Mus musculus: one gene and its partner. The main gene of each other region encodes a partner of the protein of the gene in region 2 in a complex. Links are inferred from orthologs where the notes say so. Each region holds a gene or a part of one and is shown on either strand. Other genes may lie near its edges.

What was found.
Region 1: Epc1 (region 2) and Ing3 share a complex: the UniProt entries of both Homo sapiens proteins name them as parts of the nuA4 histone acetyltransferase complex. The link is inferred for Mus musculus from reciprocal best matches to the Homo sapiens genes EPC1 and ING3.

What each region holds. Positions count from the first base shown.
Region 1 is NC_000072.6:21,948,284-21,952,553, reverse strand, and holds the start of Ing3 (inhibitor of growth protein 3), read right to left. Parts: upstream 2,940-4,270; 5' UTR 2,789-2,939; coding exon 2,761-2,788; intron 2,517-2,760; coding exon 2,445-2,516; exon of another isoform or gene 2,234-2,444; intron 426-2,233; coding exon 325-425; intron 1-324. UniProt on the Homo sapiens protein: Component of the NuA4 histone acetyltransferase (HAT) complex which is involved in transcriptional activation of select genes principally by acetylation of nucleosomal histones H4 and H2A.
Region 2 is NC_000084.6:6,449,351-6,453,168, forward strand, and holds part of Epc1 (enhancer of polycomb homolog 1), read right to left. Parts: intron 3,043-3,818; coding exon 2,883-3,042; intron 1,290-2,882; coding exon 1,116-1,289; intron 1,037-1,115; coding exon 947-1,036; intron 868-946; coding exon 719-867; intron 1-718. UniProt on the Homo sapiens protein: Component of the NuA4 histone acetyltransferase (HAT) complex, a multiprotein complex involved in transcriptional activation of select genes principally by acetylation of nucleosomal histones H4 and H2A.

The DNA of each region.
Region 1 (4,270 bases), on a different chromosome or scaffold from region 2:
TAAACTTCAGCAAGAATTACAGGAAGCTCTAAACCAGTGCTTCTCTACCTTCCCAATATTGTGACCCTTTAACAAAGGTCCTCATGCTGTGGTGAGCCTCGGCCATGAGATTATTTCTGAATCGTAATGTGTTTTCCGATGGCTTTTGGTGACCCTGTGAAAAGGTCATCTGCCCCTTGAGTTGAACTGCTGGTCTAGAATATACCAAGTGCCCCCAAGTCCCTCATAAGTGCCCTCACTCCATATCCAGGTATCTACGTAATGTTACTATCTCTCCTAGAGGGTCCCAATGTGACTGCCAATTATCCAAGGCATCACACTTACTTTTTTGATGGATGCCATCTGTTCTTCTCGCCACTCGGGTTTATTCTTCTTTGCATTCATAAAGAACTCACTGACTCTTTGTTCTAGTTGATCCATTGCATCTGACACAATAAAACATTTCATACTTAGCCGACCAAACTGCTTTGATTTGAGGAAAAAAAAAAGACATCTGACAACTCTGTTTTAGCTTATACACATTTTGTACTATAAGCAGTGGTGCCTTCATTACATTAGTTTTTAAAAAGCTGAAATATTCTGTACTGACTTTGCTATTTCAAAACATTTTCCAGTAATCAAGGTAGAGTGAATTGTACAGACAAGGATCTACGCCACAACCCGCACTGAAATCAAAGTTAATGGCATTAAGTCAGCTGGTTACGGCAATCAGAGCTGCTTACTAACAGTACTCCTGGGACGGTCTCATACTTCTTTTAATAAAAATAGTGATGACAGAGTCAACACTTGCTCCATAGCACCAAGCACCTCATCACGTCCTCTCACAGGAAGGGATAATATATGTGACCGTTGCTCACCATTTATTCACTCAACACACATGCTATTTACTCTATGTAAGGCTTCGCCAAAGCCCAGGTCAAAAATAATGACCTCAGTGGATGGCTGCTAAAAAAATAAATAAAAGGGGTTTTGTTGTGATGGAAATGGAGAAAAAATTGCCCACTATATTTATCATTTAAGCAACTTCAGAGCAGGATGGCTTTTTACAAAAGATGCTGAGATGCTCTAGTTAATCTTCATTTTTAAAACACAATTTACTTTCAGCTACTTGCTGACCTTAGACATGCTGATACTTTTAATGCCTACTCACTTTGTTTCCGAAAACTCCAGGATTACAAAGTAAGTAAACTTGAAAGCACTGTCATATGAATAGATTAAATCCAAACTATCCCAGAATTTTAAAAAAATTGAATGATTGACAATGTTTTAAATTATCCTTTATTCTAAACCTATTTGTAATGGGCATTATACATCCTAATTATCTGTATTAGTTTAAATCCTCAGAAGACTGTCAGTTTTTAAAAAAAAAAAAAAAAAGCAAACAAGCCCCCCAGGCAGCAAGGCTGGAGTTGTCCTAGTCGTCCTGTCCAAGAGTGAACCCAAATCTGTCTGCCACCAAACTCTACTCAATCCCTCTGGAATGTGCTTCGGCAGGTGTTTACTACTGCAACTACCTTAAAGTCAAAGAGAAAAAGCACACCTATTCCAGTCACAGATTTATGAGAGGCTATTGGGCAATGCACCCCAAGAGATGACCCAGAGACTGAGATGAGAAAAGTACAGTCAGGGACAAAAGGTACAGAAATGAGGGGCAGGGGCGGCAGAGGCTCATGAATGAAGAGAACAAGCCCTTAGCAAACTCAAGTTACCTTTGAGCCTCTTCCAGTCTGGCTTTTTCAAAAGAACAAGGTTCATTTTGGAAATAAGTCACATATAAAGCTGCCAAGCACTGACAGAAAAAAAAATCAATGCTAGCAATGCCTGAAAAGCCAAGCACTAGGCAGACAGAAGCAGGAAGATGAGGAGATTAGAGCAAGCCTAGGATTATTATACATATTGAGTGTGAGACCAGCCTGAATGACGTGGTTGTGTTTACAAAACAAGAAACCAGTAGGGAAGCCTATCAAACGTCTACAGTTTTCTAAAGAGCAAGCGGGTGATTTCCTTAAAATCTGATCTCTCTCACTCATTTCTGGCTGAGAAAGTGTCCACGCTGTTCACAGCTCTAAGTGTCTTCCATTAATATGCAACTTGTCAAAGTTCGGCCTTCCGAGTTCACTAGGGTCCCTAGCCTGCCCTTCTATGTCTTTGCTCTGGAGAAATTCGGAATGTAATGAACTTTTAAGTCTGAATGCAGAACTCCAAGTTTCCACATCCAGGCTCGGGTGCAAACCTTCTGAAAATCACGCGAGTTTCCACTGCGGTGCAGTGTCGTCATCTCCATGCAGTACACAAACAACTGTGTTTGCTGTGCCCCGCGTGTTAACGGTACGGTGTGCCCGCCGCCTCCTTGTCACAGCCTGAAAAAAGTAGCGCGGAGGACCCGCCAGGCGATGCCCGAGGGAGGCCGGGGCTGCGCGGGGCCGTGGAGACGCGCCACTTACTCTGCACCTGCAGATCCATCTCGCGCATCTCCGTGAAGCGGTCCCGTAGGTCCATCGGAAGCTGCTCAATCACTGTCAAAGGCACAGTCCGTCAGAGGGCGGGGCCAACGGCGAAGGGACGCGCTGGCGTCACGCGTGTGTGCGTGCGTGCGTGCGTGCGTACGGGAGGGGGGGCGGCTCACAACGAGGCTGCCAGTTACCGTGAGAAAGAAACATCCCCCGCTCCCCCTCCCTCCCGCCATCCCGCCCGCCCGGCCACTCGCGCTCCCGCCCGCCGCCGATCCCGCCCGCCGCGTCGCCGGCGCCGCGCACTCACTTTCCAAATAGTCCTCTAGGTACAACATCGCGGCCCTGACTGTTGCGGGGACGAACGGGTCCAGGGGTTTATTTGTGTCACTCGCTGTCGCCGGAGTTTTGTCCCTTCCAATATGGCGCCTCCGCTAGCAGCACCCGCTCGACTCCGGCAAAGGAAAAAAAAAAAAAAAAAAGCAAAGGAAAAAAAAAAAGGCTCCACTTTGGCGCCTGACGGCGCTTGCCTCACTGCCGCCCGCCGTTGCTATTGGCTGTCTGCAGCGATGACGTCAACCGGCCGGTGCGGATCTCCGCGGTATTCTGGGAAATGTAGTCTTCTTTTTCCCCGAGCGTGGCCATTAGTGAGGGTGTCTCTTGGAGTGGCAACTACAGAAACCACACGCCTGCGCGAAACGGGCACGCCAGAATCCGAAATGCGGTGCCTCTGTTTATTTGTTGATTTCTTACATGGGGGATGACGGGAGTTGTATGCGCCTGCCTGACACAACTAGGAACAACTTTTCACCTGTTCTGGGCGGTGATTCTAAGCCCGCCGTTTGTGAGTCATGGATTTCTGGCTGTGCTAGGCAAATAGCAAAGATTCCAAACGCTAGAATAATCGGCTAAGTTCGGAAAATTCAGGTTGTTTAGAACAGAACTCGCTGCTGGAATTTATCTTCATTATTCACTCCTGATAAATAAATGGGACAAGTGATTGGTGTCCCTGCAACGTTAAGATAATTTATAGTGAGACTGGAGCGAATGTGCATTTCCCAAATTAAAAGACACCCAAAATAGTATTCAGTAGCCAGTTATGTTTTGCGGTGTATCTTGTGTTCATTGTAAAACAACTGTTCAAATGCATCCGCAATAAAGTAAATAAATAGATGAATAAATAACAACCAACCATAAATTATAGTGATTTAATGCATTGCTGGCATATACTAACAATGATTTAAATTTATGTTGGGTAAGTAGCTGGGTTAATGTTTATAGTTCTGGGCAGGCTTTTTTAATAACCCTAGCAAATGTTCACTGGTGGTATAACAAGTGTATCACCGCCCCGTTTCTATCTTAAAAATGCCTTTCATAAAAATTCGTACACTAAATGCTTCTGTGTTTTGGGGAAAATGATCCCTTCTTAGACTATCTGGTGGATTATAACACCACACACCTGTAATCCCCTAAGTGGGAGAATTGAGACAGGAGGATTAGGAGTGTGAGCTTTGGCAACATAGGCAATTAGAAGCCAACCCAGATTATGGAAGACCCTTTCTCATACAAAAGAAAATAAATCAGTATGACACATTTTATTCACTACTCAATATTTTTATGTTACAATTTTATTTACAATGACATACTTGTATTCTCTTTTGTCTTCTTTTAAAGCCATTTTCTTATTACTTGAATGTTAAATATATTTAGTCTACACCTGTTTAATTTAAATTTTGTACTAAAACTATTTATCTGTTTGTGCTCTTTGTTCAAAAGCAGCCACGTTTGTTTACAGTGCCTAATTTCATCTGTGTTGGGGT
Region 2 (3,818 bases):
AGTTAAAAGTTGCCAAGTTCACCACGGCAGCATTTGACTCTTTCACACTGTGCGTGCACGGCATAGGGCACATAGCACAGCACACATGCATGCAGCAGCCAGAGGACAATTCCCAAGAGTTGATTCTCTCCTTCCACCACGTGAGTCCTGGGGACAGAACTCAGGCTGTCACCTTGGTGGCAAATGCTCCTTCCCACTGAGTCATCTTGTTGGCTTTGGTTCTTTTAGCCTCAAATCTCAATGCTGGATAAAGTTCTTTTTCTGTGCTTTGCAGTTCCTTCTCTCCTCCTCTCCATGCATGAAGTATTCTATTTCAGAGACCCAGAACCACATTCTGACACACTGAGGCCATGAGCAGCAAAGCTAAGTGGTCACTGCAGTAGTTAATATAAGGTTTGCCCCAGAACTCAGCGACTTTGGTTGTAGTTTCCTGAACCAATCCTGAGTGTGTAAATACAAGTTACACTTGTCCTTTCTTGGGAGTCTACCCTGGGATAACTCAGGTGCTAAGAAGCTTGGGGAGTTAAGAACCCACATGGGTCACGTGAGAACTACAAAGTGGGTGAAGACGTTGGTAATGCAGTGGGAGACGTGTAAACAGCTCTGCTAAGCACAGCAAACTGGAGCTTCTAGAGTCTGTTCACAAGGAGGACCTCAGTGTAAACTCTGACTCCAATGTCTAAGGCATGCTGGTGTGAGGAAAGCAGAAGCGTGTTACCTTCCACCACGTCCGACCCGTCTTCGTGCAAATCCAAGACACCTCTGGGGTACGGTGAGAGTAGTTAAGCAATATCTATATCGCACATCCCCCAGGCCTCCATCTTTAGGGCTAGTCCAGGGCCAGTTGCCAGTTTGGTCTAAATGAGGCTAAAAAAAAAAATCCAAATTATTGTATCTTGTCAGTCTGTCTGCTGTTTGTTGTTTACAGAGAAAGTCTGACACTTACAGCATAGTACTGACAGCCTGCTTTCCTACGGAAAGCAAAAGGGCCATCAGGGTCATTCTCTTCCTCAGCTTCCGAAGAGCCAGACAAAACCTTGAAATAAAGCAACGAGAGGTCAAAATGCAGTTCCTACGTTCCTCTTCCGTGTGCAGATAGCTGGTCTTCTGTTTACCTGTGACAGAGGCTCTTCATCTGAGCTGGGGAAGTCGTACTGGTTTAAGTCTTTAGCACTGAAGCCTGGCAGTGCAGCAGGACTCTGCTGCTGAGGGGCGGCAGCAGATGGGGGTAAGACTTTGGGCTTCTTTTCATATTTGCGCTTCGGCCGGATAAGATCAGCCTTATCTTGCTGCAACATAGGCATGAATGAGACAGTCACCCAGTAGCACATTCCACAACTGCAACTTCTGTAACAACTTGAGTTAATTATTACTTGGGGAGCCAAGTGCTTAAACTATTAAAACAGGCTTGAGTGTTCCTCCTGGTAGCCCCTCCTACCCTCAGAGGTTCAGTCTCAGTTTCCCCTAATAATCTACATTTGCTCTGTTCAAAACAAACATTTGCTTACAAGACTTATGTGTATGCACAGGTGCCTTCAAAAGGCAGAGAATATCAGATCCCCTGGAACTAGACTTGTAGGCAGTTGTATGCCATCTGACGTAGGTGCTGGCAACTCAACCCAGCAAGAACATTGTTCTCTGCAAGAACAATATGTGTTGCTAACTGTTCACCTATCTCTCCAGCCAGACAACACAAAAATTTGAATGAAAATTTAAATAAGAAAATGTTCAAAATAACAGGACTATTCCATTAATGATTCTGTCTTAATTTAGAAGGATTTAAGGTAAACTAGATCCAAGTGCATGGCTCATGTTTCTAGAACACACAGATGAATACAATGTTGTATAATTAGAATTGGAGTTAAGTTCTGAAATATGAAAATCAAAGTAAGACTAAGTGATATATAAAGTCATACATTTCAGACAGGTAGACAAAGACTTCAATATAAAAACAAGGAAAAATTATACATATGTAGGACTAGAAATTATGAGCAAAGAAATATTTTGGAGAGTGATCTTTAACTTGTTTTTGACAGGGGTAGTGGGGTGGAGGCGTTTCACTAAGTAGCCTTGCCTGGCTGAAGAAACTCACTATGTAGACCAGGCTGTGTCTCAAACTCAGAGATCTGCCAGGCGTGGCCTCTGCTGTGATTAACAGCCACCATTTGTGATTATCAAAGAGATTACTTCCATTCATCTGTCCAACATCCCAATACCTCAAAATCAACGTATCTGAAATAGTCTCTGTCAGTGCTCTGACAGGAAAAAAGTCTAGGCTGCAGAAACCATCATTCCAAATGATATGGTACATTATACACCAAATTAAAAAAAAAAATCACAGAAACAAAATAAACAGAACAGGTTAGATAACAAAATGATCAGCAGATTTCCTCAATTGAAATGGAATGGTAAGTCCGAGTTAAATGTTAGGTCATCAAACACTTCTCTCCTGAGGCACATTTATCAAAAGGGCATACTGCCTGCCCTCTCTTATTCTCCCTCACCAATTTTATTCTTCACAAATTATGATGTATCAACTTGTCAAAGTATTTATACTTCTGCCCATGTCACCAGCTGTTAACAAGACCTGCCTGTCACTCACACATAGATGTGTCCCGGAATGTTACATCGGGTGGGAGGGCTTCATATTCTTTCCAGGCCTCTAATCACGCCATTCATCACACCAACATTTCCTATCCCCTTTCAGCAAATCCCTCTTTTTATCAGACACAGAACAAAGCCTTCCCTTGTAAGGAAGCAAGAGAAGTAGAAATTAAATTGTCATGAAAAGCTCCCCAACCCCCTTAACTCCAGAACACCTTGCAGTGCAATTTATTCTTTTCACTGTTTACTGGATGCTACTGTTACAGAGCTCTAATCACCTTGTTAACTTTGAACTCCTTCGAGTCCGTGGCATCCTGGTGTTTGAACTGGCTGCTGTTAGTAATCGGGATGATGGGGATGGCATAAGTAGGCTTCACTGGCTGTCTCTGTGCCATGACCTCAGACATGATCTCTCCACTATAGTCACCTAAATTATACCTGAAATTACACAAAGGAAACTTTAAGATAGACACAGAATACAATGAGATGCTTCCATAAACACTGTGAAATGAGGTACAGTCCAACTAATTCAACAGCCACATCCTCAGATACATGTGTGCCTGCTGTAGGTGGGATAAAATCACTTAGGAAGGCTTTCAATATACTAGGTATTCAACAGTAACCCTGAATGCATATGGGTATTTTGCCTACTTGTATGTCTGTATACCATGTGTGTGCCTTCTTGCCCATGAGGCCAGAGAGGATACTGGACTCCCCTGGACCTAAACTTAACAGAAAGTTGTCAGATGCCACATAGGTGCTGAGAATCCAACCCAGGTTCTTTGAAAGAATAACCTCTAAGCCATCCTTAAGGCTCTCCCCTTGAATTCTTGGTCCTTTTGTTTCTACTACCTACTACAGGCATAAGCCACGATACCTGGGCCATCTGGCTCAAACTCAGAGCTTTCACGCCCAACAGCCATGCTCTCTATTGATGGAGTATTTAGCCTTATCTCGGCACACAGTGACTGCGGGGAAAATCCCAAGGCTGAAATGCCTCAAGTAGAGCCAAAAGCTACCCTGCCAATTAGTGTTGTCTTTTTTCTCCTGAAAGAATCACAAGAAATTTAAGTGGATTTTTTTGGGAGTGGGGGGTGGGGGGGGGATAGGACCTGAGAAGCAGGGCCTTGAGAACTAGCTTTTATGTGCATGTCATGTTCACTGTCACTACGTGGTCATCTGAATGTCATGGTGCTGGGATAGCTCAGGGAAAT